Xenopus tropicalis: one gene and its partner. Each later gene encodes a partner of the first gene's protein in a complex. Links are inferred from orthologs where the notes say so. Each region holds a gene or a part of one and is shown on either strand. Other genes may lie near its edges.

Region 1 (4,146 bases):
GTTTGCTGTAGGCAAACTATCAAACTGTTACAGAGCATCATGGAGAACTGCCTCAAAACTGTACGGGTTAATAAACCCCGCCTTATATATTTTCTAGAAAGTATATGGCACTGGCACAAAAAGACACTTTCTCCTATGACCCCAGCATTTAATCACTGCTTGGGGAAATGAAGTGCTGCAAAGAACCATGCTCTTATTACTGGGAGGAAACCCTGGAACAGCTTCATGTGCAGGTGGAAAGCTATAAAACACTTCAGTGCAAGCAAAGGTCGGATTGCTTGTAGATTAGGTAGAGCCTTAAAAAGCTTAAAAGCAATGCTTACTGGGCACAGATATTGCAAACTTACTGGATTCACACTCTCAGACTCCAAACAAACAGCTCTCCAGTGAGTAATGTAAGAAGAGTTTGCACCAGGTCCAGTAACCCATAGCAACCAATCAACAGGCAGCATTTACTCATCACCAGTTTGAAAGCAAACATCTAGTCAGCAACATTTCTTGTTGGACATCCCTGATTTACACATTACTTTGCACACATGCCCCAAACAATTGGGTGCCAGCCTTCCAGCATCACATGATGCCTCCTCTGTGGAACCTCTGGCCTGAGCATCAAAGGTTCATATTTATTAGATTGGGGCCCCATAGTACACAGCAGCTTGGTGACTTCACCATTAACTTTTAGTTTTTAATATTTTGTCTTTTTGTTCAGCAGTTCTTGCGTTAGGAATTCCATCAGCTATTTGGCTGCTAGGGTCCAATGTACCATAGCAACCAGGAAGCAGTTTCAGAACTGACCTGCTTATATTGTTATATGAGAGAAATTTAAACAAACACTGCTCTCTGTTTCAATTCCTTTTACAGATGTCTTTAAATGCATTTATCTGGTAAATCGCTCAGAACTACATGTTCTTTCAATATTTTGGGTGCAATTCCCCTTTAAGTGTAAGAATGATTTGTTTATTAGGTGACTGCATAGAGCTTGTGAAACTACGGCTCATTGGCTGTTTTTGAGCTACAACTCAGACTCCATGTGACAGCTGGAGAAGCACACGCTGAGGATCCAGCGCTACACGAATCAGCAGCACAAGCAGCTCTGTGTACACATGCCATAAACCCGCATGTCTTCACACAGACCAAGCCCTTTCCACGCTAACACCGCCCCTTTCCCTTCCAAAACCCGCCCACCGCGGCTGAAAACACAGGGATTGGTCCCGCCTCTTTCAGCTGTCAGTTTACTCCGCCCATTTTCTAGAGCTCTCACCTTTTCATTTGTTGTCGGGAAAGTCGCTCAGTAGGTGCCCGCCCCCGCTTGGAAGAGTTGGTTCAATTCTGGACGCGGCTGCTAGCTCCTGTCAGAACCCGGGTGGGTGTCGGGCAGCGCGGGCATTGCCTGTGAGAGAGCCGGGATGGAGCCAGGCCATGATTGGATGTGACCCCCCCCCTCACCCGGACTAAAGATGGCGGGTGGTCCTAAAGCATTGCCCCTATTCAACATGGCGGCGCACTGCCACTGCTGGCTCCTGGCTCTGGTGTTCTTGGTGCTCTGCGGGTCCATGGCTAGTTCGTCCGCGGCCGGAGAGGACAGTGAGGAGACCGTCATTATAGGGCTGCGGCTGGAGGATACGGACGAGGTGTCGGCCATGCACGGCGGAGCGCTGCGGGTTAGCGAGCGGACCCGGGTCCGGTTGCGGGTTTACGGTCAGAACATCAACAACGAGACGTGGTCCCGCATCGCCTTCACTGAGCACGAACGGAGCCGGAGCAGGAGCGGGGCCCCGGGGGAAGAGGAAGGCTTCCACCCCTGCGGGATCCGCACCTCGGACATCATCATCCTGCCTTCCATTGCACTGAGCCGCCGCAGCTCCGGCATCGTGGAGATCGATATCAAACCCCTGCGGAAGACTGAGAAGAGTAAGTCCTACTACCTGTGCACCTCCATCTCCACGCCACCCAGTGGGGGGCACCCACAGCCCTGGGCAGAGACCACCTGGATCTATCATGATGGGGAGGACACCAAGGTGATTGTGGTGGAAGAGAAGAAGTTCTTGTTGCCTTTCTGGCTTCAGGTCATCTTCATTGCCATGTTGCTGTGCCTGTCCGGCATGTTCAGCGGCCTCAACCTGGGGCTCATGGCGCTGGATCCCATGGAGCTGCGCATTGTCCAGAACTGTGGCACCGAGCGGGAAAAGAACTACGCCAAGCGCATTGAACCGGTCCGTAGACAGGGCAACTACCTGCTCTGCTCGCTTCTGCTGGGCAATGTCTTGGTCAACACCACATTGACTATCCTGTTGGATGACATCGCTGGATCTGGACTGGTGGCCGTGGTGGTGTCTACCATTGGGATTGTCATCTTCGGAGAGATTGTGCCACAGGCGATCTGTTCCAGGCATGGACTAGCTGTCGGGGCCAACACTATCTTCTTGACCAAATTCTTCATGATGATGACCTTTCCCGCTTCCTACCCTGTAAGCAAGCTGCTGGACTGTGTGCTGGGTCAGGAAATAGGCACTGTCTATAACAGGGAGAAACTGTTAGAGATGTTGAGGGTCACTGACCCCTACAATGACCTAGTCAAAGAGGAACTCAATATCATCCAGGGTGCCCTGGAACTGAGGACCAAAACTGTGGAGGATGTGATGACCCCTCTCCGTGACTGCTTTATGATGGCTGGGGATGCAGTTCTGGACTTCAACACCATGTCCGAGATCATGGAAAGCGGCTACACCCGGATACCTGTCTATGAAGGGGAGAGGTCCAACATTGTGGACTTGCTTTTTGTCAAGGACCTGGCATTTGTGGATCCTGATGACTGCACACCTCTAAAGACTATCACCAGGTTCTACAACCACCCCTTGCACTTTGTTTTCAATGACACCAAGCTGGATGCCATGCTCGAGGAATTCAAAAAAGGTAGGAATTTTTTTCTTATGAATTACTTATCAGATAGGAGGTGAATAATAAAAAGGTCTGGGCTTCTCACAAAGGGAATAACTAGAACATATCTGTAGATTAAAATGTTCCCAGAGAAGTAGCCTTGGGTTATTGGTACTTCTTTGGGCTTATCTGGTAGTCAGGATAGTATGAACACTTAGCTGATATGAAGTAAAGTAACTTCTTGCCTGGGTTTGTCCATATTGAGACTCTTAAATTGTTTAACTACAACTTCCAGATTCTGTTGATAATTATAATCTTACAGCTGCTTGGAGAACCCTACTAAAGACAATTAAAATAGGTAGTGTAGGTCACTTTGATACCCCTAAGTACCGTGAAAGCTCCTTCTGCAATAGAAGATTCCAATTAAAACATGATGCATAACTTTTTGGGCGGCGAAGCTAGTTCTCCAACCTAGTTTGGATCATTGACAAAAAAGAAAAAGATTAGTACTTTGGGGTTCAGCAGTCAGACATGCCAGCTCATTTCTCATACACATTCCATGCACCTTAATTAACTCACCAGGAATCCACTTACTGATAAAGAATTTGGGGATTGAAGGGCAGTGCCAACACCTGAAGGGCAGGTTGAGGATAGATCCCTGTTTTGTGGGAAGGTAAACTAAACTTGCCCGCTGCAAGAACATTTTGGGGTGCACTTTGTCATGCATTTTCTTTCACAGTTCCAACTATGTATTAAAATGGGGAAAACAAAGGTTTGTAGGAGCCCTTCCAAGAATTCATAAAGCTGGATCTTGCAGTATCCTTTGGATATATAATGCTTGCCATGCAAGAGCAGAATGTGAGTTTGCACTGCAGAGGGTAGGAAAGCATGATCTCTTGCTGTGTGTTGGTGGTCATGTCAGGTTAAGAACAGTAATGAAACAAAAGCCCCATGAGTTGGGGTGCAAGATTTAAACTGTACTCCCCCTACCCCACCATCCCTACTCACACCATAGCTAAAATGGGGTTTACATCATGGTGCAATATCCCTATGGGGAGGCAGGCCTTGGTGCATTCCATAGAGACCCTGGTAGTTAGCTACTGGTTAAAGATTGAAGACAAGGTACAGTATCGTTATTTTCCTGACCATATAAGCATATATTAGTATCATGTAAAATGCAGGCAGATGGCCTTATCCTAGTAAGCAGCTTTGATTTGTGTTATGATCCAATATATTCTCTGAATATACAGGCAAAGCAGGTAGCTTGGT
Region 2 (4,128 bases), on another chromosome or scaffold:
GGGCGGTATGACCAAAAATTTATATCACAGTATTTTTCAAAATTATATCGGTGTCACGGTATTTGACGGTATTTTTTTTCCATGCATGATTAGGTGTTAACCCCATTTCCTAATAAATTAGAGAATAATTACTGCAGTATTGAAAATCAGAGTCAGGCAAGCGAAGGATCGGCAACAGAAAGTTTGATAGCTTTAAATACCCCCCACGCATGCACAGAACCGGCGCGTCGCGGACGTGGCCGCTTTGACATGTATGTGCGCTTTGACACGCGTGCGCAACGTCCCGCGGACAACGGGATGCCCACGCAAGGAGGCGTGCGAGACTGGGCCGCACGGGTGAGTACCCTGACACCCCGGTATTGCGGTATCTGAAAAATGAATATAGTTTTTAAAAAAAAAAAAAAGGTATTCGGTATTAAACGGCATATCGCCCAGCCCTACTGTCCTAAAACTGTAGCTGTGTGTCTGTTCTATCAGCCAGAATATTCTTTTTGTCTCATAAGTAGCAGTGGGTAAAACTTTTCACCAGGTTTTTCTGCAAAAAAAAAAATGCATAGACAATGGATTGTAAGGAAAAAAAATGCGCATAGACAATGGATTGTAAGGAAAAAAAATGCATGAAAAATTCAACACAAAAAGGCGCCTATTGACTTCATGTGTTTAGCGAAGTTTTGGTGTAAAGACTGATTTGCCCATCAGTACTGATAAGTTTTTAGGCTTATCACGTTACTGCCACATTTTGCACTAAACTGAGTTCATATGCCTTGTGTGAAATGTGTGAACAATGTGGCTTTATCTCTTCAATAACAGGCAAAAAGTTTTGCATAATGAAGCAATATTTAAATTGTGTATTTTCAGTTAATATTTTATATATTGTCTTTTTATGCATGAACAATGATATGGGGCGTAAATATATGCCACTTAGGTTTATGGCTGTGCTAGCTTTTATGAAAACTTTCAGCATATTAAAAGAGCATTGTTTCCCCCTCTTTTTCAACAGCAGTTCTGTGGTGTTCTTGGTCACACATTTATGGAGTTTCTGAAGGGCAGTGGAGACTACTGCCAGGCACAGCATGAGCTCTATGCTGACAAGTGAACTGTAGAAGAAATTCATTACTACTCCACCAAGAAACCCCCCTAAGAGCAGTCGGCCTGTACAAGAAGTGTTGGATTAAAACTGAATTTGATTGAGCACTTTGCTTAAGGGGCTGAAATCTGGATGGGGTAAACCTCAGTGCACTGCATTTCTTTTGCCTCAGTATTACTGATTTGAAGATTTGCTGCTTCTCATACGGAGGTCCATTTCGCTTCCATTGCTTCCATCCAAGCAAGCACTGAGAATTTTCCCGTGGAGTAGAGTGAAGTTGACTTCAGCTACAAGCATAATTTCTTTTGATTAACTTTTAGTTGCCCCCAAACACTCTTCCTTTTTTAAACCGTGCACATTTTTTACTAATTTAAAATGGCCAGAATGAACCGCCCAGCTCCAGTGGAGATAACCTACAAGAACATGAGATTCCTCATAACACACAACCCCACCAATGCAACTCTAAACAAGTTTATAGAGGTAAGACTAAGTGAACTTTGCTGTAAAATGGGAAGTTAAAGAATAATGAAACTGTTTTTTCTCTCTAAAATGACTCTTAAAATGTTACCAGAATAACATGCCTTTATCGCTGCATTCTCATGTAAATTCTGTATCACAAGCCTCTCAACTTCACACTAGACTAGGAAGCAGCAGAGAGCTGAAGTTCCTACCTCTTTTCTGAACTATCCTCCTCTCTGAATGGAGATGCTCAAAGAAGTGTCTGCGGCACGTTCTTGCTGCCTCTGCTTCAATCGAAATCAATCAGGCATGTGCAGTAGACACCTTCAACTGTTTTTACACTCAGAAAAAAGCCCAGCAAAGAGCTTTATGCTCGACTAGAAGGTAGCTGAGAGCTGAAACGGAGTGCAAGAAGAAAGGGATGTTATTTTGGGGCTATATGAAGTCTTTTAAAAAGATTTTGATAAGTCTTACTTATCCTTTTAAACATAATGCAGCAGTAATATACCTCAGTAAAAAGTAAATTGAATTTATTTTTAGCTTTAATTTTATATAGTACTGGTTCTCACAAAAACACCTTTTATATAGACTTCTCTGCCTTTAACAGTTTGAGTTTTAGTTAATTCTGTCATTTATAAAGGAGAGAATACTATTTCTTAAATTGATAAGCCTGCTTTTTGTGAAAGCACTTGCTAATTGGCTTGTTTGTGTCATGCCATTGTGTTATTGCAGTTTATCACATAAGCCTCAAATGCTTGTGGCTATCCAGTTAATGAATGAAAGCAGTAATATTGTACTTACTAGAAACCAAAAATAAATACACAAGTATTGGTTTTGTCATGGGTATTGTGTTTCATTGCAGTTACATGGTTCTACCCAATAGAACCATGTTTTTAAATGAGATGTGGGTGAAGGATTGCTAGTATAGGTTATAGGCCATGATCTTGAAATAAATGCACCTTTTAAGAAAGTCCAACATTAATGCTGTTTTCTCACAAATCTCTTATAGGAGCTTAAAAAATATGGTGTTACAACATTAGTAAGAGTGTGTGAAGCCACTTATGATACTGCTCTAGTCGAAAAGGAAGGAATTCAAGTTTTGGTGAGTAAATTTCAAAGTGTTAAGGCACTATTTTGATGACTGAAATACACTCATGGAGAAAATGCCTGATGTGCTGTAGCCCTAATTTGTATGTGATAGGGTAGTGTTTGACAGTTAAAAATCACTGGGGGTGCCAAATGTTAGGTGATTCTGATCACTTACCTTTTACTTTGGGCTGGTGCTCCTGTTAGGAGAAAACGGCACCAGACTGGAGTAGCTGTGAGCGAGTGATCCTCTTCCGTGTCTCTTCATTATGAATCCCAAGGCTGACACATGTGTAGCAGAATGAAAATACCAACCTTTTTTGTTTAGGTTTGGCTTTTCACTTTACTGTGCAAGTGGCGCAAAGAGAAGTAGTAAGAGGAACACTACCCCGGGGTGGTGTGGTTATCTCCTAACAGGAGCACAAGCCCTGTAAGCAATTACAATCACTGATTGTAATAGTGATTAACAGTGCTTAACATTTGGTACCTGCCAGTAATTTTTACATTTCCTCCTCCTTTAAGTAAAGGAAAACTGAGTTATCTTATGTAATTATTTGATATTTCAAAGTTGGCATTGCATAAGCAGTTTGCAATTATGAGTGATGATAACTCAGATTTTAGATGGGCTTACTTATTTAGAAATACAGGACTAGATCAGCAACTCATCCCACACATAAATGCATTGACGCTACTGTACTGGGTTTCTATAGTATAACATGACCTGGACTGAAATGATTTTTTTATGGCTACCTGTAAGCTCCTCTGGGTGAGGCACTAATTTTAAATGATGTTTAAAAAGGTTATAACTGACACCTATCAGGTGGTTTTATGTAAGCTACTTGATCATGCTTTCATGTTCACAGATTTATAACATTGGCTAAAATTACTAATAACTGATAGCTTAAAAGCAACCCACTATACAGTAACCTCCCAGCTACTTATAGGAAAATGATGCTCAAAATAATACATAGGGTTATATTCCCCACAATGCAGACCCTCCATGCTGCATAAGATACAATACACTTGTAGTCTGTTTTCTGCATGGGAGAGCAACATTGATAAGTTACTGCAGAAAATGACATCAGGATCCATAAAAGCTTTCAGGTCGCTTCATGGTATGAGTACTCACTCGATTGGTGTGTGCCTCTACCACCTTGCCATGACCTTTTCAGTCGGGTGCTAAGCAGTCACATGACCCCTTGCCTAGGCTTTAAACAAACATCATAGTGAAATCAAACTGCAGCACATACTTGTTGCAAAAGTGAAAAGGTGTCCCCTTCATGGTATGAGGGCAGAATGGTGTTACAAGACCCATCCATTTCCTTGCCTGCTGGTTGCGCAGATGTTAAGTGGTGTGTTCCTCTGCCAGCATTTTTGACATCTGCTGAAAAATGGGCAGTGCCCCATGCCTCAAAAAGCAGGCAGACCAAGAACTGTTCATGAGTGTGTGCTTTTTACAAATAAATATTTCAAATGAGCCAGTATGTGGTTTATAC

What was found. Proteins that work in one complex are often made in the same cells at the same time.
Region 2: the proteins of cnnm2 (region 1) and ptp4a1 are in contact, whole or in part, in a crystal structure (PDB 5MMZ), measured with the Mus musculus proteins. The link is inferred for Xenopus tropicalis from reciprocal best matches to the Homo sapiens genes CNNM2 and PTP4A1. Residues at the interface, in NP_291047.2 of Mus musculus: Phe526, Asp528, Val551, Asn553, Glu556, Gly557, Asp558, Pro559, Phe560, Tyr561; in NP_035330.1 of Mus musculus: Asp72, Gly73, Ala74, Gly107, Leu108, Gly109, Arg110, Arg137, Arg138, Gly139, Ala140, Phe141, Asn142, Lys144, Gln145.

Annotation. Positions count from the first base shown.
Region 1 is NC_030683.2:28,842,346-28,846,491, reverse strand, and holds the start of cnnm2 (metal transporter CNNM2 precursor), read left to right. Parts: upstream 1-1,344; 5' UTR 1,345-1,457; coding exon 1,458-2,913; intron 2,914-4,146.
Region 2 is NC_030681.2:94,858,029-94,862,156, reverse strand, and holds the start of ptp4a1 (protein tyrosine phosphatase type IVA 1), read left to right. Parts: upstream 1-1,301; 5' UTR 1,302-1,462; coding exon 1,463-1,567; intron 1,568-2,555; coding exon 2,556-2,648; intron 2,649-4,128. UniProt on the Homo sapiens protein: Protein tyrosine phosphatase which stimulates progression from G1 into S phase during mitosis. May play a role in the development and maintenance of differentiating epithelial tissues.